Linked DNA regions of Cricetulus griseus. The protein of the gene in region 4 binds, or shares a complex with, the protein of the main gene of each other region. Links are inferred from orthologs where the notes say so. Each region holds a gene or a part of one and is shown on either strand. Other genes may lie near its edges. The genes, in order: Med13l, Med24, Ccnc, Med7, Med18, Med13 and Med31.

The links.
Region 1: Med7 (region 4) and Med13l share a complex: the UniProt entries of both Homo sapiens proteins name them as parts of the mediator complex. The link is inferred for Cricetulus griseus from reciprocal best matches to the Homo sapiens genes MED7 and MED13L.
Region 2: Med7 (region 4) and Med24 share a complex: the UniProt entries of both Homo sapiens proteins name them as parts of the mediator complex. The link is inferred for Cricetulus griseus from reciprocal best matches to the Homo sapiens genes MED7 and MED24.
Region 3: Med7 (region 4) and Ccnc share a complex: the UniProt entries of both Homo sapiens proteins name them as parts of the mediator complex. The link is inferred for Cricetulus griseus from reciprocal best matches to the Homo sapiens genes MED7 and CCNC.
Region 5: Med7 (region 4) and Med18 share a complex: the UniProt entries of both Homo sapiens proteins name them as parts of the mediator complex. The link is inferred for Cricetulus griseus from reciprocal best matches to the Homo sapiens genes MED7 and MED18.
Region 6: Med7 (region 4) and Med13 share a complex: the UniProt entries of both Homo sapiens proteins name them as parts of the mediator complex. The link is inferred for Cricetulus griseus from reciprocal best matches to the Homo sapiens genes MED7 and MED13.
Region 7: the proteins of Med7 (region 4) and Med31 are in contact, whole or in part, in a cryo-EM structure (PDB 7EMF), measured with the Homo sapiens proteins. The link is inferred for Cricetulus griseus from reciprocal best matches to the Homo sapiens genes MED7 and MED31. Residues at the interface, in NP_001094286.1 of Homo sapiens: Met15, Gln16, Tyr17, Ile18, Lys19, Tyr21, Thr22, Asn25, Ile26, Lys33, Pro34, Pro35, Pro36, Pro37, Ile38, Lys39, Asp40, Tyr42, Met43, Met44, Phe45, Gly46, Gln48, Gln50, Asp52; in NP_057144.1 of Homo sapiens: Asn14, Arg15, Leu16, Arg17, Phe18, Gln19, Leu20, Glu21, Leu22, Glu23, Phe24, Gln26, Tyr33, Phe36, Leu37, Tyr42, Asp45, Ala47, Phe48, Asn50, Tyr51, Tyr54, Tyr57, Glu62, Tyr63, Lys65, Tyr66, Lys68, Tyr69.

Annotation. Positions count from the first base shown.
Region 1 is NC_048597.1:98,620,036-98,623,852, forward strand, and holds part of Med13l (mediator of RNA polymerase II transcription subunit 13-like), read left to right. Parts: intron 1-2,187; coding exon 2,188-3,125; intron 3,126-3,817. UniProt on the Homo sapiens protein: Component of the Mediator complex, a coactivator involved in the regulated transcription of nearly all RNA polymerase II-dependent genes.
Region 2 is NC_048600.1:111,788,145-111,792,146, reverse strand, and holds the end of Med24 (mediator of RNA polymerase II transcription subunit 24), read left to right. Parts: intron 1-222; coding exon 223-487; intron 488-741; coding exon 742-923; intron 924-1,146; coding exon 1,147-1,237; intron 1,238-1,583; coding exon 1,584-1,683; intron 1,684-2,471; coding exon 2,472-2,552; intron 2,553-2,855; coding exon 2,856-3,121; 3' UTR 3,122-3,469; downstream 3,470-4,002. UniProt on the Homo sapiens protein: Component of the Mediator complex, a coactivator involved in the regulated transcription of nearly all RNA polymerase II-dependent genes.
Region 3 is NC_048595.1:119,710,331-119,714,147, forward strand, and holds part of Ccnc (cyclin-C), read right to left. Parts: intron 3,785-3,817; coding exon 3,749-3,784; intron 3,121-3,748; coding exon 3,029-3,120; intron 2,106-3,028; coding exon 2,038-2,105; intron 1-2,037. UniProt on the Homo sapiens protein: Component of the Mediator complex, a coactivator involved in regulated gene transcription of nearly all RNA polymerase II-dependent genes.
Region 4 is NC_048600.1:60,988,396-60,992,782, reverse strand, and holds the start of Med7 (mediator of RNA polymerase II transcription subunit 7), read right to left. Parts: upstream 2,922-4,387; 5' UTR 2,786-2,921; intron 2,756-2,785; exon of another isoform or gene 2,479-2,755; intron 273-2,478; exon of another isoform or gene 101-272; intron 1-100. UniProt on the Homo sapiens protein: Component of the Mediator complex, a coactivator involved in the regulated transcription of nearly all RNA polymerase II-dependent genes.
Region 5 is NC_048595.1:20,804,293-20,807,115, reverse strand, and holds the end of Med18 (mediator of RNA polymerase II transcription subunit 18), read right to left. Parts: intron 1,761-2,823; coding exon 1,207-1,760; 3' UTR 617-1,206; downstream 1-616. UniProt on the Homo sapiens protein: Component of the Mediator complex, a coactivator involved in the regulated transcription of nearly all RNA polymerase II-dependent genes.
Region 6 is NC_048600.1:99,532,843-99,536,659, forward strand, and holds part of Med13 (mediator of RNA polymerase II transcription subunit 13), read right to left. Parts: intron 3,141-3,817; coding exon 2,917-3,140; intron 2,236-2,916; coding exon 2,046-2,235; intron 954-2,045; coding exon 497-953; intron 1-496. UniProt on the Homo sapiens protein: Component of the Mediator complex, a coactivator involved in the regulated transcription of nearly all RNA polymerase II-dependent genes.
Region 7 is NC_048600.1:86,054,322-86,058,816, reverse strand, and holds the start of Med31 (mediator of RNA polymerase II transcription subunit 31), read left to right. Parts: upstream 1-1,484; 5' UTR 1,485-1,626; coding exon 1,627-1,654; intron 1,655-2,650; coding exon 2,651-2,728; intron 2,729-2,999; coding exon 3,000-3,096; intron 3,097-4,495. Other genes in the region: uncharacterized protein C17orf100 homolog, read right to left, coding at 865-1,266. UniProt on the Homo sapiens protein: Component of the Mediator complex, a coactivator involved in the regulated transcription of nearly all RNA polymerase II-dependent genes.

The DNA.
Region 1 (3,817 bases), on a different chromosome or scaffold from region 4:
TTGTAGTCAGTGCCAGAATGAGGAACTGGGTGGAAATGTGACAGAAAGACTCTGGACCTGCTGGAAGCCAGAGCCATTGTGCTCTATGACAGTCCTACCTTCTGAAAAGTCTGTGTGTGTACTTAAAGGACTCCTGTACCTGGATCTTCCACTCTTTAAAATGAGATTATTCTGCTGTGACTCTACCCAGAACTTTGGAAAAGCTCTAGCAGCTAATGCCTGTGGACTGCAGAGGGGAGAGAACTATGAAGCTGCCCTGTGAGTGTCTGGCTTGGGTTGCTGCCAACCTCAAATGAGGCCTGGAGCACCAGCACCAGACACCCTGGGCATGCTTGGGCCCTGGTGGCCATTCATGACATCAGGAGCCACTCAGCACTTTAAATTTGCCTCTACTCACAGGTTCCCAGGACAGGCTCTGGTAGTTTTCACTCTGGGTCATCATTCCCACCCACTGCATTTGTCTTCTTTGGCCAAAGACTAGACTGGCAGTGCTGCAAGGGAGGTGCTTTTTATCCACACAGTCTAATGGTATGACTGCGGGCCAGCCTTGGCCACTTAACATGTGGCTACTGGGTTATTTGTTCTGCTTCATTCAGATCTAGCACTGGGATCTAGGAGTTGCATTACTGAGCAGCATGGCTCTACACTGTCAGTTCCTGCTGTGCTCTCCAGTGTCCACCATGCTGGGCTCATTTTTTACAGTCAGTACACTTGTTGACATTTGCTTCAGATTTGCTGTATGTCATGGCAATTTTAATTTTTCTCTGCTGACTGTCCCACTTTTCACATAGGGTTGGTTTTCAGTCCATCTTAATGTACAGGGAAAAATGACGCTGCTAAGTAAGATGAAGTATTTGCTATCTAGATAACAATGGAATTATTCAGATTTTCAGTTAGCAGGTCATGGTTCCTTTTTTGATCCAAACCTGCAGAATTATTTTAGAGTCTTGTTGGCAGGAAAACTTTAAAGGAGCCTGATGAGTGCGCAGATGGTTATCTATTGCACTGTTCAATCTCCAAGTCAGCTTTTGTCTGTACCCAAGATAGCCCTGTATGTCAGGGTTTACATACTGCCAGGTTAGATACCTGGGCCAGTGGTATAAGTTCTGAAAGATTACAGGGAAATGACTGTGTAAGGGAATGAATGTGTAGCTCACCAAGGAGCATCAGTGAAAGCACTGGGATCATGTTTCCAAAAGAGTCGTTAGGACTGAAAAACTTGCTGTCTCTGATGGCTTGCAAGTGTAGATTGGGCTTGTATACTGTCTCTGGGTCTGTGGGAATGGTTGAGGATGTGTTCTATAGTGGAAGAACATCCAAATGCTACAGACATGGTCTTGTTTTCTGCCCAGCTGCTCTCCCCAAGCCACGGCTTATGAGATAAAACAGCCCTGTCTACCATGGGAATGAGAGTGATTGTAAGTAATACGTAACATTGAAAGATGAAGGAGACTGAAAGAGAACCCAGGAAATCTCTGTTTCTGGAGACCAGAGTCGGTGCATCTTTCCCAGTAACTGCTGAATAACACCAAACCCTGTGCAGAACAGAGAGATGGGCACAGTAGCCACACAGTACTGGGATCATGCAAGTCTGGCTCGTGCTACCTTCTTCCACTTAGAAAAGCACCACATTTGAATGTGATTTGGTTACAGCTAATTCAGTATCATTGTATAATGATAGCACCATAGAAAAGTGCACAGGCAGACTCTTGGTTTCAAAAAATGGCAAAGGCGAAGTTGCAGAGTCTATGCAAACACCACTGTGCAGCATTCCAGCCAATCTAGCCTGCACTCCTGTGAGCTGTTAGTAGTTACAGCACTTCACACAACTTCTCCATGCCCACTTTCACATTTTCTCTTAGAAGACTGGAAGTCCCTCAGCAGATCAGGATGAGGATTGTCTAGTGTGGATTATGTGGAAAGAAAGTACTCTCTCTCTCTCTCTCTCTCTCTCTCTCTCTCTCTCTCTCTCTCTCTCTCTCTCTCTCTCTCTCTCTCTCTCTCTCTCTCTGTGTGTGTGTGTGTGTTCCTTTCTCATGCTCTTGCTTCTGCCACTCCCCTCCCCTCCCCTCTCTCCCTCCTTTTTCTGTTGTTTTTGAAGAGAAAATTGCACATCTAGATGCTCAGTGCAGGGCATGGCTTCTGTGGCTGCTCCCCTTCCTCACCACTACCTTGTGTCTGTTGCAGTAATGTGCCTAGTGTTGGGAGCCTCGCAGATCCAGACTATCTGAACACACCACAGATGAACACACCTGTAACGCTGAACAGCACTGCCCCTGCCAGCAACAGTGGGGCCGGAGTCCTCCCATCTCCAGCTACCCCTCGATTCTCTGTCCCCACACCACGAACTCCTAGGACTCCAAGAACTCCCAGAGGTGGGGGCACTGCTAGTGGCCAAGGGTCTGTGAAATATGACAGCACCGACCAGGGGTCACCAGCCTCTACCCCCTCTACTACGAGACCCCTTAACTCTGTGGAGCCTGCCACCATGCAGCCAATTCCTGAGGCCCACAGTCTCTATGTCACCCTGATTCTGTCAGATTCCGTGATGAATGTCTTCAAGGACAGGAACTTTGACAGCTGTTGCATCTGCGCCTGCAACATGAACATCAAAGGGGCAGATGTTGGGCTGTACATCCCCGATTCCTCCAAGGAGGACCAGTACCGATGCACCTGTGGGTTTAGTGCGATCATGAACCGTAAACTTGGTTACAATTCAGGGCTCTTCCTTGAAGATGAATTGGATATTTTTGGGAAGAATTCTGATATTGGCCAAGCTGCAGAGAGGCGCTTAATGATGTGTCAGTCCACCTTTCTTCCTCAGATGGAGGGAGCCCGGAAATCCCCAGAACCCCCCATAAGCCTTCTCCTCCTCCTCCAAAATCAACACACACAGCCCTTTGCTTCTCTCAGCTTTCTGGATTACATCTCCTCAAACAGTCGACATGCACTCCCCTGCGTGAGCTGGACTTATGACCGGGTGCAAGCAGATAACAATGATTACTGGACAGAGTGCTTCAATGCCTTGGAGCAGGGGAGGCAGTATGTGGATAACCCCACAGGCGGGAAAGTGGATGAGGCTCTGGTGAGAAGTGCCACCGTACACTGTTGGCCTCACAGCAATGGTAGGTATTCCAGAATGCAAATTTGCATCAGAAGTTATCTTGGTGCAAATGATAACTTAAAAGCTTTCTTTACTACATCACAAAAATGCAAGATTTAAACTTATAGGTCTGGAAGTGAGGGGTATGCTGATTTCTTTTACATTGGAGGGGTGGGGATGTCTTCTGCTGGAGGTTTTGGAGAGAAGCGATTACCTCCTGAAACTTATCTGTTACATTAAATCACAAACAGGCAGTGCATGGTGGCAGCTTGTGGCTGCTGAGTATCAACATGGCCCCCTATATGAAACTGATGGTCAGCGTACCTGCCTCCTGATACCCAATCATCCTTCTGGATGCATTGCCATGGTGCTTCTTCCTTGAAACTGGCCACACATATCCTGAGTACTTTCTCCTTCTGGTTTCTCAGTGTGATGCATCTCTTGGGACAGTGACCACATCTGACTTTATTGCAGTTACTGGGGCACATCCCAGGGCATTGTGCTATTTAAAAGTGCCAATTGCCCCATAGTCTAGCTTAGTGGTAGAAGCCTACAGTTCAGTCCCTAGTACTGCTGCAGAAGGGAGAACTACTTCCAGTTGAAAAGCATGTTTTGAAATTGGGGTCTGTAGATCCCCTCTACTCTAACAGACACATGGGACATAAAATGGTGACCAAGAGACTGAGAGAGGAGGGCCCCTGCCTTCATGGACTT
Region 2 (4,002 bases), about 51 Mb from region 4:
GAGCGGGAGAGGGAGAACAGAAAATCTGAATATATTGATGGAACTTGCAAGAGAAAAATCTCTGCCCTGTGCCTTTCTAGGCTTCATGCGGAGCACGTAAGCTCCTTGTCAGTAGTGGTTGTATCGTGTCCTCCCCTAGTGTGCAGTGGGTCTAATTCCCCAGCCACGTTTCCGTAACCTAATTCCAGGGGTAATGCCTGCATGTATCCTCCTTGCCCCCAGAGTGGTGATTATGAACTCAATCTTGGAACACATGTGTGCGGACGTGCTTCAGCAGACAGCAACACAGATCAAGTTTCCATCCACGGGCGTGGACACAATGCCCTACTGGAACCTGCTTCCTCCCAAGCGCCCCATCAAGGAGGTACTGACAGACATCTTTGCCAAGGTGCTGGAGAGGGGCTGGGTGGACAGCCGCTCCATCCATATCCTAGACACCCTGCTGCGCATGGGCGGCGTCTACTGGTTCTGCAACAACCTGATTAAGGTACTGGGGCCAGGGTGGATGTGGACAGCTATGTAGATTGGGGCCATGGGTGTCCTCAGTTGGGGTAGGCCAGGCTTCTTTGGGAGGTTGCTGGAAGCTGGGTGGTCTCCGGGGGAGACAGAGGTAGGGACCTCACCTCAGAGAAGCACCTTCGGTTGGAGTTGGATAGCACCTTTGACTGTAGAGTGGCTGGAGCATGAGAGCCCTAGGGCCCAGGTGTGCAGTGCCTTAGCCGCTGCTTGCCCACTGCCCAGGAGCTGCTGAAGGAGACTCGCAAGGAACACACACTGAGGGCAGTACAGCTACTCTACTCCATCTTCTGCCTGGACTTGCCGCAGGTGACCCTGGTCTTGCTGGGCCACATCCTGCCCGGTCTGCTTACTGACTCCTCCAAGTGGCACAGCCTCATGGACCCTCCTGGCACTGCACTAGCCAAGTAGGATTCTCTCCAGAGCCTTCCTGGTGTCTGCTCCCCTTGAGTCCCAAGAATCTACCACCCAGATTCAGGCACCCCAGCCCTGGTGCCAGCTCAGGAAGCCAGGCTGTGGTTGGGGGGCCCGCTGAGTGGTGGTGGGTGGGAGGGGCTTGTTCAGCATGAGCACACATAGCCTCTTTTGGGACTCTCTTAACTATTCTTTTTTCTTGGAACCCTTCACCAGACTAGCTGTGTGGTGCGCCCTGAGTTCTTATTCCTCTCAAAAGGGACAGGCAGCTTCCCGCCACAAGAAGAGACACAGGGAAGACATTGAGGTAGGTCTGCCACCGCCTTGGTTGTGTGTTTATTCATGAGATGCTTCCTGATCACTTAGAGCAGAGAGCTGCCTTCCCAGGGTGGGGGTGGGGTTGAGGTCCCCTGTGTGTGGGCCTTTTTGATTGGTCAGGGTCTGGGGGAGTGGCTTGAGTGGCCCCTGAGTATCCTTGATGAGGGTCCTTTCTGCCCACTAGGGCAGAGATTGGAGTGTGGGAAGGGCCACCACTGGGGATGCTGGCCAGGGACTAGGAAACTCACTCCTCTCCACTCAGATCTCACCTCCAGCCCTCTCCAGTCCTTGGAGACTTGGGAGGTTGGGTGTGTGACAGTGACTCCTGCCCCCAGGACTATATCAGCCTCTTCCCCGTGGAAGACATGCAGCCTTCGAAGCTGATGCGACTCCTGAGCACCAATGAGGATGATGCCAACATTCTGTCGAGTCCCAGTGAGCACTTGGGAGGTCACGGGCTTGCTAGGACCATTTGTCCCTAAGGACCTGCCTTGGCTCCCAGCTGATGGCTGTCAGCCAGTGTGGTGTGGCAGCAGCTTCCACGTCTGTCCCTAGTGGATGCTCTGCTGCCTGCTGGTGGGGACCTGAAGTTCTCCTCCAGGGGCCCTCCCAGTCCCACAGTTATCCCTCTCTTGTCACCAGTTGAAAGATGACAAGACACCCAGTGAGTTCACTACCTTGGTACAGCTTGTACCATTCACTCACTCACTCTGCCATCCTTCTAACCCAGAGACATGCCCTGTGGCTGAGAACAGGCCCTGTCAGGTTGCGACCTGGGGCTGCACTCCTGCCTTCCTATCCAGAGGGCAGCCCATGTCATCCTTTCCTTCTGCCAAAAGTTTTTTTGTGTGGCATCCAAGTTTCCTGTTTCCAGAGATCTCTTCTGAGCCTAGAAGTTTTCTCTGTAGCCTTATAAGGGACCAGGCCACAGCCACAGCCTTGTGTGAAAGAAAGCTGCTGGCAGACCACCTCTGACCTTAGCCAGGCTCTAAGCAAACAGATTGTACGTCTGTAAAATGGGCTTTGAGTGGGACAGGTGGCTTCAGCCACACAGAGTGCCAGGGTTAGCCTCGGTTGGTGCGCAGAGGCTTGTTCCCACTCATCTACTCTCCAGATTCAGGCTCTTCTGTGCCCCGTACGTGCCAGACTCCCCTGATGGCAGGGGACAGGTAAGGCTCCCCTAGAGTCAGAGCTTACGCAGCACCCTCTCTGCCACTCCACAGCTGACCGTTCCATGAACAGCTCCCTCTCGGCTTCCCAACTCCACACAGTCAACATGAGGGACCCTCTGAACAGAGTCCTGGGTGAGTCCTCCCAGCCGTGCCTACCTGCAGACTGAGCTACACGGGCCCCTCCTCGTCAGAGGCAGGGCCACGCCTGCCAGAGGGATCCTCTGGGCCCTGACATCCTGTTCCGCTTCCATGTGCTGTCCTGTTCCCTTACCACCGCTAACAGCCTCCCTTTACTCCATCCCCCATCCCCCGCCCCACCTTCCCTCCCTGGCCTTCCTATGTGAGCTCTCACTGCCTCTTCCTTTCCCTCCTCGGTCCCCTTCTTTCTCGTCTGACTTGTTCTAGAGCTCTGCTGTCTTGTTCCCTTCTGCACAGCCAACCTGTTCCTGCTCATTTCCTCCATCCTGGGCTCCCGCACCGCCGGCCCCCACACCCAGTTTGTGCAGTGGTTCATGGAGGAGTGTGTCGACTGCCTGGAGCAGGACAGCAGGGGCAGCATTCTGCAGTTCATGCCCTTTGCCACTGTGTCGGAACTAGTAAAGGTGTCTGCCATGTCCAGCCCCAAGGTAGTGCTGGCCATCACAGACCTCACCCTGCCCCTCGGTCGGCAAGTGGCTGCCAAAGCCATCGCTGCACTCTGAGGAGCTTGGAGTAGCCTGGACGGGGTCCCAGCCCCAGCATCCCAGCAGGGGGAGTGAGGATGAGCCCAGGCTGCCCCATCCAGTGGTGCAAGGATGCTTCTCCAGTCTGAGGCCCTCACCCACTCCTGCCCTCTACTTACTATGCCTGTTCCTTCTGTGGTTTTCTGTCCTTTCCACCAGTACCCAAAGACTGCGAGTGGTCCCGATGGTTGCCCCAATTCTTGCAGTAGCTGAACTCCAAGGAGGGACTTTATAGGGCCACAGTGTATATATAAGTTTATTTTTATAACTCAGGAGGGGGAGTCCCTCTTGCTTTGTTTGTAAATAAAGATCCTTGTAGCTATTGAATGCTGTTGGTAGCTTTGCTGGATGACTGGGGACAGTATCTTTTCCCTGCAAGTCTCTTGTGCTGTGGCCAGGGAAGGGCACAGTCCTGTGGTGGGGGAGGAGGTGTGGAAGGCCAGGCTCGTTTTTCACAGGCCCCCACTGAAAGTGGAAAGGTCTGTGAAAGCCCTGTACTGTGCTGTGCAGGGCAGGATGGCTTGCTCTTTAGTCACACTCCACCCTCTGGCCCAGAGTTCACTGTGTGTTCCAGAAGATTGTTGGAGGGATGAGGATGAGGACTCTGTTCTCCACACTCTACAGGTCCAGGGACATGGATCTGTGAGGCTGTGGGAAGGGAAATTGTCAAGGGGGCTTTGAGAAGCCAGTGGTATGGAGGGCTGTGGAGGACGGTGCCTAGGTTGGCCTGGTTGGGCAGCTCTGACCCACAGGGAGCCTGCAGCTGACTTTCAACTGCAAGTGCTCTTCATGGCCACATCCCACCCTTGCAGACATCTTCAGCTCAGGAGCGGAGCCAAGCAGGGAAGTGCTCCCAAGGA
Region 3 (3,817 bases), on a different chromosome or scaffold from region 4:
AACTAAAGATTTTCATAAAGATTTTATCTTATTTTCCAGTACTATTTTTTTAAAATATAGCTTCATGTTGAGATTACACACATACACATAAACACACACACCATTTTGTGTATCAACATTTAATAGATCGTTTACCAACTTAATGATACAGAAAAAAAAATCTCTAGCTGTAGTGTGGTTCTTCACTGTATACTGGTCACAGTGTGGGTAGCTCAAGGCAGATTTCGGGGGAAATCAGCAATGTTAATCATGCAGGGGTTGTCTCCTCAAAGGAGGAAATAAAATACCTGCTTTCCATCCAGAAAGTAGGGGTGGATATTATTAACAACCTGTTGACCTTTTGCTATCTATAGAGGCAGACCTCACCCAAATAACCCAGGATGTCTATCCCAGACTTTCCCTCCCTAGACCTATATCTTTAGCTCTCAATTAATGGAACCCATCCTTAAGGGATATAACCTAAATTTTAAAAAGCTAAATTTCACTTAAGCATTTTTGACCTTTGCAATACAGTCACGTTTGGTTAGACAAGCTTTTAAGATGGTCTTGTAGGCTGGAGAGGTGGCTCAGAGGTTAAGAGCACTGGCTGCTCTTCCAGGGTCCTGAGTTCAGTTCCCAGCAATGACATGGTGGCTCACAACCATCTATAGTGGGATCTGATGCCCTCTTCTGGCACACAGTAACATGCAGATAAAGCACTCCTATCCATAAAATAAATAAATCTTGCTGGGTGGTAGTTGCAAATGCCTTTAATCCCAGCAGAGGCAGGCGGATCTCTGTGAGTTCAAGGTCAGCCTGGTCTACAAATCGAATTCTGGGCTGGAGAGATGGCTCAGGGGTTAAGAGCACTGACTGTTCTTACCAGAGGTCCTGAGTTTAATTCCCAGCAACCACATGGTGGCTCACAACCATCTGTAATGGGATCTGGTGCCCTCTTCTGGCCTGCACTATATATATGATAAATAAATAAATCTTAAAAAAAAAAAAAAATCGAATTCCAGGACAGCCAGGGCTGTTACACAGAGAAACCCTGTCTCAAAAAATCAAAATAAATAAATAGATAAAATAATTTTTGCTAATTCAAAATACCACCAAGTCCAGTGCTTCACAAGAGTCACCAGTGCTGCAGAAGTATTCAGTTCAGCCCATGTGTGACCTGTACTACTCGTTTTTTGTTTTTTTTTTTTTTAAAGGTTTTATTTATTTAAGAGTATACAACATTCTGCTTCCATGTATATCTGCACATCAGAAGAGGGCACCTTATAAGGGATGGTTGGAAGAGCAGTTGGTGCTCTTAACCTCTGAGCCATCTCTCCAGCCCAGACCTGTACTACTCTTACTACTAAGAAAGGAGCCAGAAAAATCAACAGGAGAAGAAAAAAGGAGCAGGAACTATGAAGTGCCTAGGATGTAACAGACATTTGGTGCTCTATAGGTTGTTTCACTTAACTCTTGAAACAATTCTTTATGAAATTATTATCCATCCCACAACTTTATAAGCTCAGAAAAATTACATAATTGTTTCTACAACTGTACAGAAAGCAATGTCTCAATTTGGTCTGCTTAACTCTAGCCCATCCCTGCGTGCCTTCTCCACCCCATGGGATGCCAGCTAACTTCTAGTGACAGCAGCACAGGTGCTTCTTAAGCTCTTGAGGTTTTACTGGATCCGGAAATGGAAGTCAGAACCAGTTACTTAAGACAACTAATATCAGCAGATTTACACCCAAATTTTCCCCTTTAAGCAAACAAAAATGATGTTTAGGTACTGATTAAAATGTTTTAAATGAATTAAGGGGGGAAAACTATCAAAAAAGGGACTGAGGATTAGCAATGTATAGGGGGAAAATTATCAAAAAAAGGGACTAAGGATCAGCAATGCTAATCTGTTAATAGTACTTATTACTGAAAGCTCACATTCAAGGATTAGTCTACCACTTGATAAAAACATAAATTACAATCAGGCGAAATGTATTTTAGGATGACCTAAATAGGCAAAAACAGTTTAACCAATAAAGGCACTCCAAATTTACATACCTAAAGCTATCATGAAAGGAGGATACAGCAGACAAAGATCCGTCCTGTAGGTATCATTCACTATTCTCCTGTGGAAATGTAAATCTTATCATTACTAACAGCACAACTACTTCATTGACCATGTAACTTCTCCCAGAGAGAGCCAGATTTCCATCTTTGTGCATTTACATCCCTGTTCTACTACCGAGAAGAGTCATAAAGATGAAAACACAGAGGCCAAACAATGGATGCCTGAATGTGACAACAAAGATTCATGTATCAGTGAGCATATTTTTGATGTTGGTACCTCACAACAAATTATATAAAATAAATTTTTCATATTTTTGAAAAATAAAAAATAAAATTAAGAAGCCATTATTTGAAATGGATTTGTATTGAATCCAATCAAAAAGTACTATTTTAAGAATAAATTCTGGGTGGTGGTGGTGCACGCCTTTAATCCCAGCACTCGGGAGGCAGAGGCTGGTGGATCTCTGGGAGTTCGAGGCCAGTCTGGTCTCCACAGTGAGTTCCAGGCCAGCCTCCAAAGCTACAGAGAAACTCTGTCTTTGTAAGAATAAATTCATTGTTAATTTTCATGTGAGGTCTTATTTTTCATATGAAACATTAACAGATATACTTATCAAACAGGTAATTCAAGATATATATGACTTTATAACCTTATACCACTATAGTTATTAAAATTTTTTTGTTTTTTACTTTTTGTTTTTTCGAGACAGGGTTTCTTGGTGGCTTTGGAGGCTGTCCTGGAACTAGCTCTTGTAGACCAGGTTGGTCTCTAACTCATAGAGATCTTCCTGCCTCTGCCTCCCGAGTGCTGGGATTAAAGGTGTGCGCCACCACCACACAGCCTAGTAATTAAAATTTAACAAGCAAATATTTGCTGAATATAAAATATCTTGGGGCACTTTAAAATACTAAACCACATATTTAGTTGTCAACCCTCCTGTCTAGCAACAGGTTTCATATGAGTAACTTCTGTTCTAGTTACCATGCAAGGGGAAGCAACACGTCTTCTTGGCCCATGTCCTGCACATACTGGAGCAAAGGTCTATAAGGATGATACACTATCAAGCAACAATCCTAGAAACAGTTTAAAAACATATATGTATAAGAGCAGATTTATTACAACATAAAACAATACCATTTCCAACTAATTGTATTTAAAATTAATTTCTCTATCTCATACTTGCTTCTTCCTTCTTATTCTTTTGCTCACATATGACCTGAGCTACTGTGATAGTGAAGGAAATGCTCTCTCTGGAATATACCTTGGTAAATCAGTAGGCAGCCAGTCAACATCCACTCTTGCCCTCAGAGACTCAAAGTGTCACACCTGCAACACACTGACACCTCTCACTAGACTATAAAGCCATAGTCCCAACGGAGGAGCAGAATTCTGCCAAAGACATAATCTGTCTTTAGTTCTGTGTGTGTGCACGCACACACAAATTGCACACAGTTTGCAGTGGTTTAACTTCCTGGCTTATTTGCTTGTAATCCTGATTATAGCTATAATAAAATTTTAAAAAATTTCCAGAGCCCAAGTAAGATATACAAATTATTTTACAGGCATCAGAAGGAAAAATAGGTGATAATGCTACTATAGTTCTATGATTTTGCCATCACATATCATTTAGATAAATTTAAAATTTATCTCCCTTCAGAACAATTCATTAAGTTTTACTGTATTATGGAAAAATATACATACCATTAATTCTAAAAGGTAAAATTCACATTCTAGTATCTGTTAAAAGAAATTATCCAGTGAAAATAAGCA
Region 4 (4,387 bases):
AAGCATCCTGAAAATAAAGGGGTGTGGTGGGAGGAAGAGGCTCTTATGACATCTGTCACTGTATCATGAAGCTTCACTGCTGAGGAAAAAAATTACCAACCAATGACCAGGGCAGCCTGGACAACATCAACTTCAATGTTCAGAAGTACACTGTGAATTCAGACCATATTATCTTTAAGCTTCCTGCTGGTAAGTATGCCTTGAAAATTGAGAACTTGTTGGCCAGTCAAGACACAAGGTGTGCTAATTTCACCCTAAAGGAACAGGTGACCCTGGCAAAGGAAAAGAAAAATAAAGCAAAGCTATGGCTTCGTGCAATGAAGATAACTGTGATGAGAGCCATGAAACAATCTCTAGCATCTAAATATACACCCAAGTCGAGGTATGCAGACTCTATGAAGGAAATTCTGAGAACATGAAGCAGTGTCACTTGGAAATCTTACAATTATTTGAATCCCTTAAAGTCCCTGTCACCTGCTAAAGGACACTTTTGTCTGCCAGACTTCATGTGACTATGAAGTAAGGACACCTGTTCTGCTTGGTGAGGAAAGAGGGACGCTAGGGTTAAGGACTCATGTGTTCTATGTAAGCTGACAAATGGAAGCATAGGAAGTGGGAAGCAGCCAGTCAAGTCCACTAAAGGTTTGGCAGATAACTTTACTTACTGTTCTTTTTAAACATTTTTTTTTGTTGTTATTTTGAAAAAGGACCTCAACTGTCATAGATGTGGTGGTTCACACTATAGAAGCCAAGACAGCTATGAGTTCAAGGCCAGTTTGGGCTACACATTGATTTTTGAGTCAGCCTGTGCTAAAAATACCTTTAAAAACTATTTTTAAAGTATATGAAGTTGGGAGTGAGATATGGTGATGGTCTGCATGGTATTAGAGGGGAAGGAGAGGGCATGATCAAAACACATTGTGTATAAAATTCTCAAAGAACAAAATACATATTCTAAAAACTAAGAGAAAAGGGTCCATGTCTGGGATGATTTTGTATGGCACATGATATATTATTTGTCATGTCTGATTTTTGTTTTTGTTTTTTTGTTTTTTGGGTTTTTTTTGGGGGGGTGGATAGGCCTATGTTGGAACCCACACTGGAAAAAAGAACACTTATACACACAAATATCACGTGCCTTTTTACTACTCTTTCCCACAGTGAAACTACCTATGGTGTTTATCAATCTCATATCACAATCACTTTTGCTTTCTATTATGTACTGGTTTCCAAAACCAAACACTTAAAGACTCTAAACATTTTGACAAAAACAACAAAAAAAGCATTGTTAAATTTCAAACTTCTATTATTATCCAGGCTTTGTGAAGGAAGCCCCATCTTGAGAGGGCCGGGCGTTGGTGGCAGACGCCTTTAATCCCAGCACTCGGGAGGCAAAGGCAGGCGGATCTCTGTGAGTTCAAGGCCAGCCTGGTCTCCAGAGCGAGTGCCAGGATAGGCTCCAAAGCTACACAGAGAAACCCTGTCCCGAAAAACCAAAGAGTACGGTCTTATTAACACATTAGCATTTTATATATTTCCAAATAATAAAAAAAACTGCAACACACATGGTCAAAATAACCTCTCCTATTCCAATTTGAATTATATAGTGTATTATCCATTGATAAGTGTACATCCAGTGAGGAGACTCCTGAGTGCTTTTTCACACTTGATCTGAGTTTCAAGACGCACCATCCATCTACCAACATCAACTGGGGCAAGTAACATACCGGTTCAGTACCAGTTCCTTGGAATATGTTAAATCTGAGGGCAGCCACTTCAAAGTCTTCAGCTTTCCAACTGTTTGGGCACCTCACCCACCCACCCACCCACCCTGACACCTTTTCCCCTAAGTACTTCAGTATATACCTAAAACACGAATGTTCTCCTGCAACCACAGCCTAATTTCACCCACTGAGGGCTTTTGAAATTGAGGTTCTGTGCTTCCCTTCCCCACGCCCACACTAAACCCGCAGTTTCCCAAAGGCTTCCAGTAAGTGACTGGCACCGGCTATTTACACCGTCATTTCTTCTTCACAACGACACAACTATTCCCAATTCGATTTTAGAAACAAGAAGCCAATTCCCAACGTGGAGCATTAGATCAAAAGACTGGCAAACGGTACAACGGGACTTCTCACTCTGGGTTTTTTGTTTGTTTCCGCTCCCAAGTACAAATCCCCGAACTCCACTAAGTAGCGAGGCTTCCCGCGGAACAGCCTGCCCCAGGACAGGATCCGCCCATCACCGGTTTAAACAGAACTTTTCAAAGCCGCTGGAGGTCGTAATTTTGTAACACTAGCAAAACTCACACTTAGTAGTGTTTGCTTTTGCAGGGAAAGCGTCGCAAGCTCAGAGACCTGCTTCACTTTGTGCCCTGTAAACTGGGACCCCTTGAAAGTCTGGTAAATGGGGAATCCAGATCCGCTCGTGGGCCCCCGCCCCAGCCCCAGCGCTCCCAGGTGGCTCTTCTCATTTTACCAATGGCGACGGGGGACAGTCTTGGCTAAGGCCACGATAGTTTAAAAGTCGTCGAAGTGGGGACAAGAACTCGGGCCTCCCAACCTCCAGTCCGGCTCGTCTCGCACGTGGGAAGCCCGGAGAGGGAGCACTCGGCTCACCTTCGGCCTCCGGCAAGCTCCGCTGAGCGACGTGGGGGGAAAGGCGAGCCCGGGCTTCCCAGGATGCCCCGCGCCGGCCCGGCGGCGCTCCACGCCCGGAGAGAAGCAGCCACGGGGGCGGAGAAAGAGGATCAGGCTGCGGTTGCCAACCGCAGCCGCGGACTCACCTCAGCGCTTGCTTTTCCGGTAGCGACTTTTCCTCAGCGCAGCAGAAGCACAAGTTCCGGTTGCCTTCTCAGGAAGAAGCCTCTGACGCTGGTCTTTAATTGGCTACCAAGGCTGTCCTAGAACAGGTTTTACTCCCGCCCTGAAGGTATTGCGCGTGCGCACTTCTGCATCTCCCGCTTCTCCTGGGGTTGTCTCAGGCATCTCCTCCTTCCCCTCCCCCCTCCCGCCGCGCCCCTGAGTAACCTAGGTCGAGTCTGGAGAGTACCTCTTCTTCGTTCATTTTGTCAGTAAAAGAAAATACTATCTAATAATTCTATTCCTCGCCACCTCCACTTTTAAATGAGACTCTTGGAATTAAAAACGAATCCACTTGCCTTATTTAAAAATCAGAAAATACGGATAAGCAATATATTAAAATATTCTATCAATGTTAACCTCACCATCAAAAATGTTTTTAATATAAGATTATACTCCGTGATATACATAAGTGTATATAAATATTTGCAAATATATGGTATACTTCTGAACATGATTAAGAATAAAATCCTAAACATCCAGTTTCCCCCTCCACTTTTATTTTCATTTAGGAATTCAAAGACGTCTATTACAATTCTTACACAAATTGACAAGTGAAAAAAATTAGTTTGGTGTAATTTTTTTTTTTAACGGAGGGAGGGAGCAATTTCACTGTGTAGCCCAGCCCTCAGGAGAGTTCAGAAATTCGCTATCAGTCCCAGCAAGAAAACTTTCGGTTTAAGGTTTTGTTTTCAGTATTTGTTTTTTTCCACAAGAATTGTTAACAAATGTCCAAGTTCTTGGGAGTCTTAAGGGTGCACACTGCAATCTAAAAGATAAGAATGTTCTGGTAAAACAGCTCTGCTTCACAAACAAGATCCTCCCAGTTTCTTTCTTTAAATATGTGGGGAATTGCAGGCATAAAAGTGAAGTGCAGTCTACTCACCGCCAACTTCAACAGTTACATGCTCAGCATCATTTCATCTTTAGTCCTGTATGCAGCGCTAAAAGGTAAGGGCTCTTTATTTCTTCATATACCCATAGAATTATAATCTCACTGAAAGTATATTGGGGTCATTAAAGGAACAAAACTGATAGAATGAATATGTATGCATGTATGGTTTACTAGAGTGTCTCCAAGGATCCAGTCCAAATATCCCAACACTGGCTGTCTCATGCATGGAAGGCTGAGAACCCTGTAGTTGCTCAGTACAAGAGGCTGGACATCTCAGAAGCTCTCATCTGGCACTGGAGGCCTGGAGGATTTCTGGAAAGCTGCTGGTCTTCAATCTATGTAAGAATCCCAAAGAAATTCAGTTCCAGTACTGGCAAAGGAATGAGGGAACAAGAAAATGAATGAAGTTGCCGGTGAGAGTGAGGGCAAGCAACAAAATCACAGTTTGCTGTTTTCTTGTCCTTTGTCCTTCTTACCTGGGCAGCTACAAGAACATGCCACCAGTCTTCCTGCTTCTAAAAATCTGATTAAGAAAATTCCTCACTGGAGCTCACAGGAGTTTGGGTTTTAGTTGATTTCAGATGCAGTCAAATTAATAACCGAGATTAGCCATCATGTGAAGATGAGTTAC
Region 5 (2,823 bases), on a different chromosome or scaffold from region 4:
CCACACTCAGGCCCCACATGATCAAAGTGCAGACCAGCTGCTGGCAGCTGTCCTCTGACTCCACGTGTGCACACGTTAAGTCCTAAATAAATAAATGTAATATAAAGTTACAATATAAAGTAGATGAGCCAAGCCTCACTAGGGTTGTTTGTAGGATCCCGAGTAAGACTTCTAAAAAAGTAGAAAAGCCTGGAAGTGGTGGCGCCCGCCTTTGGTCCCAGCACCCAGGAGGCAGAGGCAGGGCATCTTTGTGAGCTCGAGGCCAGCCTGGTCTATAGAGCGAGTTCCAGACAGCCAATGCTACACAGAGAAACTCTGTCTCCAAAAACCAAAAAATAAAATAAAATAAAAAAATAAAGAAAAGAAAAAGGACTGAAAGTTTCCCTCAGAAGAAAAACAAAAAATTAAAAGAACAAAAACTATATGACTTCACATGGAGATAGAGGGTGACAACTTGCAGCAGTCGGTTCTCTCCTTCTATATGTGGTCCTGGAGAGGACTCTGGCCCTCCACAGGTGTGCCCACACACATACACAACAACAATAATAGTAAAAGGGTAATATAACAATAGTAAATAGTTAAGAAGTAATAATAATAGTAAGAATAAGGATCAGAATCGAAATTTCTTTCCCGTCTTTATTACCATACAATGCCAGCTCACAACACTGTTACACATCTTATATACAAATGACAAAGTAAGATAAACAAAAACATGAAAACAAAAAATAAATAAATAATATATATATAAAAACAATGAAAAGGCAAAACAATCATCAGAGTTGTTTTTTGACATTTTCCTCTGAAAAGCTAATTTATTCCAGTTCCCTCTCTTTGAGCAGAGGGAGGACTTGGTCAAATCTCCATGTTATCCTGGGCTTTTAATGGGAGAAGACTGTCAAGGAGATCAAACAGCCGGCTTCGTAAGGAGAGCCTTAATGTGGGTAATTAGGCAGACGGGCTCTGCGTTACTGGCTAGTTACGGAGTGAGTTCCAGGTGAGCCAGGGTAAGACCCTGCCACCAAGAAACAAACAAACACAAAAGATGAAATTACTATATAAAGGAAATGGTCCAAAGGAAACATATTCTCACCACTTAAGTTTTCCGGAAGGGAGTCGGCCTGACTGGCAGCAGTGAACCAGGGCACTTGGGAGATCTTTCTGCCTATCAGGTGAGGACAGACCTCAAAGATGGACAGACCTTCTTAATCACATAAGCCTTTTGGGGTCTATTTTTTCCAGGTGAACCAGAGGTTTGAGCTGCTCCGCAAAATTCCTCATGTCATCAGAGACCATGTCCTGCCCAGCTGGTGCAACAACACTCAATTCCACAAGATAGGAGAGAGACAGGGCCTCTGTGCTGTCTGTGTTCCCTGGGACCAGGATTCGGAAAATCTTGTACACCACAATCTTCATGATGCCCTTCCGGAACAAGTGTCCTTTGGCTACAAACTCATGGTCCATGCGGAAGCCCATTTCCATCAAGAAGTCTGTGAGGTTCTCAGATGTGGCAATGTCCACACAGTTGCGAACCAAGGCGTGACGGTTCTTGTCTCCCATTTCTGGCTGTCCCAGGTAGCGCAGGTGCCACGGTGCCCCTGCCCTGTCCATGGAGCGTCGGGCCCTTAGAACAAATGGACTGGCCTGCTGGCCCTTAAGAAGGAATACCATCTCGTGATCAAGGAAAGTCTCAGGCTCCATGTTGTCACACAAACCACGAAGGCGATGGATGAGACTTTCCAAACTGTGGTCTAAAACACTCCCTGAAGAGGTAAAAAGACAATGAGTCCTGGATTTCATGCAAAGTCATGAAACTAGCAGAAGATAAACACACACCAATAAATAATAATTCTATGCATTGTTTCATGTGAACCATCCATGGGATTCTACTGGTTCTCTACCTCTGCTATGTGGTTCTCATAGATTGATCTCAGGCTATCAGGCTTCAAAGCAAGTACCCCGTGGTGGTTGGAGTAAGAATGCTCCCATAGGCTCTTACATTTGAAGGTCTAGTCCCCAGGCAACAGAATGTTTACGGAAAAATTAGAAGGCATGTGCTTATTGGAAGGAGTTACAACACCAGGAGTGGGTTGAGTTTTCAAAAGCCCACGCCAGCCCCAGTGTCTTTCTCTCTACCAGTGGATCAGGCTGTAGCTCAGGGCTATTGCTCCAGCACCTACCTGCCTGCTAGCTTCCATGCTCCTCACCATAATGATCCTAAACCTCTGAAACTGTAAGCAAGCCTGCAATAATAAATGCTTTCTTTTGTAAATGTTGCCTTGTCATGGTGCCAAGAAACAGAACAGAAACTAAGACATAACCTTACAAATTAAGCTGTCTTGTGAGCCCATAGCCAGTTTTCTTTATTTTTTGAGACAAGATTTCTCTGTATAGTCCAGGCTATCCTGGAACTTGCTCTGTAGACCAGGCTAGCCTTGAATTTGGGGATCCACCTGTGTCTGCCTCTGGAGTGATGGGATTAAAGGCATACAAAACCATGCCTGTCTTCTTGTTCTTAAGTACAATTATATGAAAAGGAAAATTTGAATTTGTTCCATAAGTAGAATTTCATTAGCTGGAAATAAATAATTGCAGCTGGCTGTCAATCAATGGTAGAGCATGTGCTTGGAATGCAAGGCCTTGGGCTTGATCACCAGAACCAAAAGCCAAGAGGGGAGGCTGTGAGGCTCGGGTCCTGGCTTAGTGGCAAATAACAACAAAACAGTATTATTTTTATTAGCCATACATGATGACACACAGAAAACTGAGGCAGTAGAATTGTTAAAGACTCAAGGGCTAGAAAAATGGCTTAGTGGTTCAGAACCT
Region 6 (3,817 bases), about 39 Mb from region 4:
GAATTATGTTTTTTAAGATCTTAACACCAACCCTGTGATTCTATGATAAAGACTTTTAAAACAATCTTTATTATAATTTTATACATAAAATACTTAACATGATTGAACTAAATTCCACAATAAGAACAAGAAGCACTTTATATTCATTTATGACTGTCTTAAGATTAAAAAAAAGGGGGGGCAGGCATTGGTGGCACACACCTTTAGTACCAGCACTCAGGAGGCAGAGGCAGGAGGATCTCTTTGAGTTCAAGACCAACCTGATCTCCAGAGCAAGTGCCAGGATAGGCTCCAAAGCTACACAGAGAAACCCTGTCTGGAAAAACCAAAACAAACAAACAAAAGATACAAAGAGACACCATAGATTCTGAATTTCCACAAACTTAAATTTGCTTTTATCTTTTCATACACTGTCCACAGGCTTCAAGCAGGCTAAACCCATGCTACTTACTGCTCAACTATCTCTCAACCCCAAGCATCAGTATCTTAAAAATACCTTTCTGACACATCAGGATGTGGCTGAGTGGGAAGCGAGGCTGACTCGCCTGACATTCCTGCTGCCTGCAGAGATGATGACTGCTGTCCTCCCAGCTGGCCACTCTGAACTGTACTTGTTTGTGCAGACATGGATCCTGAACCACTAGTGTTCATACTGCCAAAGGGTGGAAATGAAGGCAGTTTATTTGATGACACTCCACTACTCATATTGGAAGATGATGAAGATGAAGTTGTGGTCAAAGTTGAATTAGCTGTGGCAACTGAAGTAGATATGGCAACACCTGAAGTCATTGTCATAGTGCTACTTGCCGCAGATGCTAAGGTGGCAGATGGAGTATTAGCGTTTCCAGTATTTGTCATCTGAGGTGCAGTAAGCAAAGACTGATTTGTAGGGGCAACTAAATTTGGCTGGGAGAGCAGAGAGCTGTCCAACGGCTGAGAAGCAAGATATGGACCTAAAGAACAAAAAACGGGTATTTAATTCTTGGTTTCACTGACTTATTTTTATTCTACTAAAGAAATAACAATTTAGTTGATACTTTCATGGCAATTATCTTCCCTTAACTGTTTTACTAACAGTGTAGCATGTAATAGCTTTCTATTTTCTCCCAGAAACTAAAGAAACAAGTTTAAAATGGAACTATAAAAGTAAACCTGCATTTTCATTCAAATTTAAGATAATCAATATGAAAATGTAAGAAAATTTTATTTCCTGGGCAAAATTAGATGTAAACAAAGGCTGACAAGATGGCTCAGTGATTAAGTTAATCCCCAGGAAGCACATGGTAGAAAGAGAACCAACGCTGCAAGTAGCTTTCTGACTTCCACTGATTCAGGTGCATATACCCAACATACTCCAGTAAATGTTAATAAAAAAATCAGAACACATCAACAAGCGTGACAGCAGTATGTAACAATTTTTCATCAAATCACTGCAAGTGTTATTAAGTATTATTTCTTCACAAAGTGAAGAAATACTGTCCAAACTGACAGCTAACTAAAATATAAAATGGAGGAATAGTACCATGAAGCTCAATTTACAAAAATGTCTAAGTTCAGTAATTTGGTATTACATCTCTTTGGATAAATGTAAAAAAGTTCACTGGTATTTAAAAGTACAAAAAGGTTTTAAATAACAGTCATTCTCTTAGCCACAATAAGACTTTTTCTGGAGTTGCATAGTTGACTTAGAAATTACATGCATCTGAATTATTAACAAATCGTAGATCTTGAAGTGCGTAAAACATCAGATCCCACAGAAGTAGCAGAAAATATTTTGGAATCCATAATGTCTACTTGAGAGGATGCCCACATACGAAGCAAACGGAATTTCTATGTGGACAGTCAGACAGTACATATTTAACTTTGAAACCACAGCCTTTGCCACATCTACTCAGTTCTGACTTTACAGGACAAAAGCAGGCAGAGACAGCGTGTTTGAAAAATGGAGATGGCTACATGACACTAGGATATTATTTACAAAAATAGATGATGAACCAAGCCACAATGCTCACACTACTCTTGTAGAATGAATACAAATTTATTACCTAAATCATATCTGCAGACTTGTGCATAAAGCTTGAGCTTAGAAAATGCTTCATTGTTACCATCAGCTGCCTGAGAAAACCATTCTGTTACAAACTTTTCTGAAAGCTTCTTTGATGCAGTAGCTCCCACTTTCATGATCCCATCCGTCAACAGTCGAGAAATAGGTCTGTGTTGGCCCAATCGACAGGACTACAAATACATATATAAAAGGTAGACTCAGGGAATCTATTATACTATTAGGGTACAGATATTAAATTAAAAACTCAATCTATTTAAAACAAGCTTTATTACTTATAATTAACAACTGAGTCAAAACACCATGGGTAAGTATGCAGACACTGGTCATCTTCCTTTAGGAATTTCAAGCTGCTGCTTTGCACTCCCCTCCCCTGCCCCCTGCCCCCAACCCACACACACACAGCTCAGGTAGCCCAAGCTGGTCTCAAACTTTCTATGTAGTTAAGGATGACCAAGAATTTCTGATCTTCCTGCCTTCATCTCCCGAATGCTGGAATTATAAGCATATACCACCATCCCTAGTAATACGGTTTTTCCAAGATATGGTATTCACTGTGAAGGCCAGACTGGCCTGGAGACTTTCCGGTTTCAACTACCTCAGTACAAGAGTTACAGATATGCACCACCACACCCAACATACCAAGGGTTACTTTAAATATAACACATATGCCCTCGATGGGTCCCTCCTATACTATGTTTTCCACTGTGACCCAAGGCACACATACCTAACAGAGACTAGCAAAAATGTGGAAGAGTATAGTTTCCTAGTAAGACAACTGACAAAAATCAGCATTTTTCATCAGCCAGTAGAATTCCCCAGTATAATTTAAACATAAATTATAAAATACCTACCTCATATATTGCAGTAAGATCTCTAAAAAAGCTTTTGGCTCCATTTAACAACGCTTCATTCTCTGGACAGAGTACAACATAGGCTATATCTCTTTGAGATCCATATGGTTCCAGCATAAGTTTCTCCCAGTAAGGGAGAGCAAATGGAGAAAGCACCAGAAAATCGTAATCATAACCCAACAAAAACGTGGGAATTGGCAGTGGTTCTGGAGATTCGTCAGTTCCTAATAAAGAAGGAAATTAGGAAAAAGCCAGTTCATGTCATCTTTATTTCCAAAGCTAATAAATAGATTATTAGGAAAATATTAAAGACAGAAACATATAAAGCTAGCAATGACATATTTTCAGAATTAAAAATATCCTTAGGTGCTCATTTTAAAACATTTCCTGCTATTTTGTTTAGGGCAATCTTGTTCTATAAACAGTCAGATCGAACTTGCAGCAAGCCTCCTTCCCTTGGCCTGTTAAATGCTGGGATTATAGGCACAAGTCATCACACTTGTCATTAATTAATTTAAAAGTAAACTTATTTATAATTAATATGATGAATAATTTGTTTACCATAAAGACTTACGAGAAAAATCATAAGATATACTATGTAACATTGTATACATGTCAACTATACTATATTTTATTTCTTAAAACTTGGTTAAAACAGTAAATCAAGTTAAATCTTCTTAACAAAGAAAATGACAAATTACCTTATTTTAAAATGAATAAAAGACATGAACAACGACAAAAAATAAAAATACTTCTTATAGAAAAATGATTGCTCTCTTTAAAGAAAGCAACTTAAATGGATACTAGGAAATAATTACAGCACTACATTCTAGGTACTCTCCAAAGCTCTGTACATTTCTGTATTAACTAATTCTCACAAACACCATATCCGCAGACATTG
Region 7 (4,495 bases), about 25 Mb from region 4:
GTTCACCCACACAATTAGCAAGGCTCTTCCTGACGGTATTCTCTAGAGAAACTTCCCTGTTCTCTACCAGATACCTTTTCCTTCACATGAGCACAAGAGACCTTAGCTTTCCCCTTTGTTTCTGCCTCTTCACTACAGGGAGATCTTAGTCTTCTCCACTGTTATCGCTGACATGCTCTGACTAGTACCTAGCACACAGTAGGTACTCAGTAACCATCCTCTGTCAGCCTCACCCTTCAGGTCAGGTGCCAATGGCTTTCTTTTCACTTTCCCTTCTTAGCATATTTTTTATTAATTGACTTGCCTTTTTTTCCCCAACACCCCCTGACCTATTTAAAAAATAATAAAAGCCTGTATGTGGAGTACTGTGTATAAAAACTTAACATAGGAAAGCTTATTATGAAATACAAATAAAGGTCAATTAATAATCCATGAAAGATGATTCTTTGTTCTATTGGTTTCAAGCACTATATAATCAAGCCAGTGGTCATGAATTCATGACAAGTTTGGTCCTTCTTCGCAAATTTCAAGTGGTCAAACCATTCTAGAGGGACCTCAGGCTACGAAACTTACCTGGTGCAGAGACTCAAAGAGCCTCTTTGTCCATCATCAGCCGAGTATATACGCACCGCAAGTCTGAAGCCCTTCTGTGCTGGCTTCGAGTTAAATAGTACACTGGGTCAACAGCAGGGTGGTCTAAGGTGATGCAATCTCAATACATGTTGGCAGCACCCAGAAACCACAGCCTGTTTCTTACATTGATTTACAGGCTGTTTCCATGAAACCAAAGATGCTTGGCTCTCCTGGAAGCTGGCTGGCTGGCAAATGGAAACACTTCAGTGCTGGCTAAGGGCCATGGCCACTTCATCGGGTCATTTTGGCACTCTGGCGAGCTGTTTGCTTGTCCCTCCTGGCTGGGCTCTCTACACGGTGCACAGTCGTCTCCACCCGCAGGGATGACGACGCCCTGACGTGGCTGGAGGACGTCTCCGTGCACTGCGAGGAGGTTTCCACGTGCTGGGAGGATACCTCGAGGAATCTAGGGAGTCGCTTCGCGGAGGAGGTCAGGGAGGGTCCCTCTCGGTGGCGCTGAGAGGTCTCCACCTGACGAGAAGACGTTCGAACCTGCCGGGAGGACGTCTCCACGCGGTGGGATGACGTTTCCTCGCGGTGGGACGACGTCTCCACGCGGATAGTCGACGTTTCCTTTTGGCGGGTGCTTTCCACTCGCGGGGCGAAGGATTTACTCCTAAGGGGCGAGGCCATCCTGCTGGCACACCCAGGTCAGAAGGGACACAGAGGCCCAAGACTCATGCTCTGTGTCACGTCACACAAGGGACGGTGACGTCAGGGTGATGAGCTACGTCAGTGTAGGCTGCTGCGGGCCACATAGGATCTGCGAGCAACGAGCTCTTCCAGCACGCGCCGCTAGATAATTGCTCAGGCTGCCGGCCCAGACCACACAGATAGGCGGGGCCTCTCTCCTCAGAAGGAGGCTGTCTCCGCCCTCGCGTCCCACATGCCCCGCGACCGGAAATAAGAGCCGTGGCTTCCGGATCCTCCCTCACCATTTGAAGCCGCGGTTGGGTCGGGCTGGTTGTGTTCGCGTCTCTCTCCTCTCTGGTTATGGCCGCGGCCGTCGCTATGGAGACAGGTTCGTGGTGTCGTGCTCCTGGAGTCTTCACCGAGGGAACGGGTCCTCCCCCCTTCTCTCCGGTTTCCCCGCGCCGTCTTTCGGGCTTAACCCGGCATCCTTAAGGAGTTGGGATCGGTGGGGGAGAAGGCGGTGTTGTCTCTGATTGTGGCCTGTGTGAACGACATCTTTGCTCCTGGGCTGCTCACACCTCCACTCCCTGGCTCGCGGGCCGGGGTGGGACTGAGGGAGAGGACCGAGCCCTTCAATTGTCTGCTCTATGGAGCTTTTCCCGTGAACTTGCTTGAAATGTTTGTAACGTGTATGGTTCTGATACGGATTACCGTCTCCTCCCCGCTGTTTAATCATTTTGCATCTTGCTTCCTGCTTTTATTTAGCACTTTGTTTTTGTTTAACTTAATCACTGTTAGTAGTTGTGGTTGTAACGCTAACATTGGGGGTGGCACAGCTATTACAGACCAACCAGTGATCTCTGTTACCATCCTCCCATAGTGGCCTTAAATAGCCGTTTCGTTTATTTTTCTCAACTAACTTTAGGTAATTTATTATCTTTGTTTTGTTTTGAAGACAGGGTCTCACTATGTACTACTGCCTAGCCTGGAACTGGCTATGTATACCAGGCTGGCCTGGAATTCACAGAGATCCTCCTGCCTCCCCCTTACAAGAACTGGGATTAAAGGCATGCACCACTCGGCTTGTTTTGTTTTAAACCAGGCTCCACTCTGAGATTTCTAAGGAAATCTCTCCTGCAGTTTGGTATTTGTTTCATAAATTCATTCCTATGGGGGTGGGCGGTGCATGCCGAGGTCAGAGGACAACTTGCAGGAGTCTACTGTTCCTGCAACCCTGCGGGTTCCAGGGATGGAGCTCAGGTCATCAGACTTTTCTGTGAGCACCTTTACATGCTGAGCAGTCTCACTGGCAGTTTGTTTTTGTTTCTACAAATCATTGGTATCGTGACTTTTATTTTGGGTGTCTTTTACTTTTTTCTCCTAGATGATGCTGGAAATCGACTTCGGTTTCAGTTGGAGTTGGAATTTGTGCAATGTTTAGCCAACCCAAATTACCTTAATTGTAAGTCGAGTACATCATTAAGTTGAGTAGCTAGCTGTTAATGATTTCTGACAGAAGAGATGGAATTCATAATAGTATTTACTTCGGTATGTTTGAATGGGATTTTACTTTCGATGGTCTGTAGTTATTAACTGAGCAAACAAGGACTTGTGTTTTTTAATTCCTTGTGTTTTGATGGTAGGAATGTTAAAAGAGCTACTTTATTGTAGCGATTACAAGTCAGTAGTCCAGCAGTTGGTTGACATACAGATTGTTTCTTTATGCCTTTCAGTTCTTGCCCAAAGAGGTTACTTCAAAGACAAAGCTTTTGTAAATTATCTTAAGTACTTGCTTTACTGGAAAGAACCAGAATATGCCAAGTATCTAAAGTAAGTTTAATTTTTATAATCTTAAATCTGTGTATACTTTATTATAAATACGAAGTGCTTATATTTAGCAGTTTTCTCGGTGTCAGAATGGCAAACTATGTTTTGAATTTTTCTGCTTTTAGTTCATGTCATGTCATTGTCATTTCTAATTTGAATTGTTACAGTAATCTCACTTATTTCTGCTGTCATTCTTACCTCACTCCCTTCAAACCAAACAAAGCCAAACAGTTGTCTGTCAAAACCAATTTACTGTCTTAGTAGTATAAATCAGAACATGCCACTTCTATTCATGTAGGATAAAATCCAGTAACTAGTTTTAGAGTAAGACTCTGATTTGATTTGGTCTGTCTGAACTTGTCATTTAGCATTCCCCTTGTCTCTCTGGGTTTCTAATGCCTTCCAACCTATAAACTACTAAAATGTAGTGGTATAGCCATAAGCTGAAAATGAACATATAAGAAGTGGTGTTTTCTGGGAGTCTTAGACTTACTGTCTTCTTTATAGTTTCCTATGTGTCAAGTACTGTGCTAAATGTATCGTGCACATTAACTCACTGTAAACAAAAGAAAGACAAACATGAACACTGTCAAGTTGTTTGATAGACAATTGTGAGAAACATCACAACTACACAGCTATCCCTTTGAATGGTAAAACAAAACCTTGAACTCACCCCTCTGCTTTGTCTTAATTAAAAAAGAAAAACAAGCTGGTACACACCTTTAATCCCAGCATTTGAGAGGTAGAGGTGGAGGTGGATAGATCTCTGAGTTCAAGGCCAGCCTGGTGTACAAAGCTACTTCCAGGACAGCTAGGGCTACACAGGTAAACCCTGTCTTGAACTCCCCCTCCCCTAAAAGGGTGGACAACAACAACAACAACAAACCCAGAAATTTTAGCCTGATGCCCCTTTAATCCCTGCTCTCAGGAAGATCCGGCAGATCCCGGTGAGTTTTAGGCCAGCTTAGTTATGTAGCAAGTTTCAGGCCAGTCAAGGCTACATAGACCCTATCTTAAAAATTAGAGGGAAACATTTCAAGCCTTTTCTTTATATCCTAGTCACTTTTCTGAATTGATCCTGGACTGCCTGTAGAACAGATTGCACCGGATTTGCTCTTTATGATGCAATTATTGATTCCTTTAGGAATCTGAAGGAGAGACTTTTAAGTTATTAGGCTGTTATAACAGTGCTAGCAGATTTACAGACTGGGTATTAAAAGCCTTAGTCACCTTCAATTCAAGTTCAGTCTTACCAGCAGAATTGTTGGATGATAACTAACTATACTCTGGTTGGAGGCCTCCAGCGAACATATGTCACTCTATTAGAGGAAGCTTACTTCACTGATAGCCAGAGATTATAGCCAGAAGGACAACTCTTCCTTATATTGTTATCAGACAGACC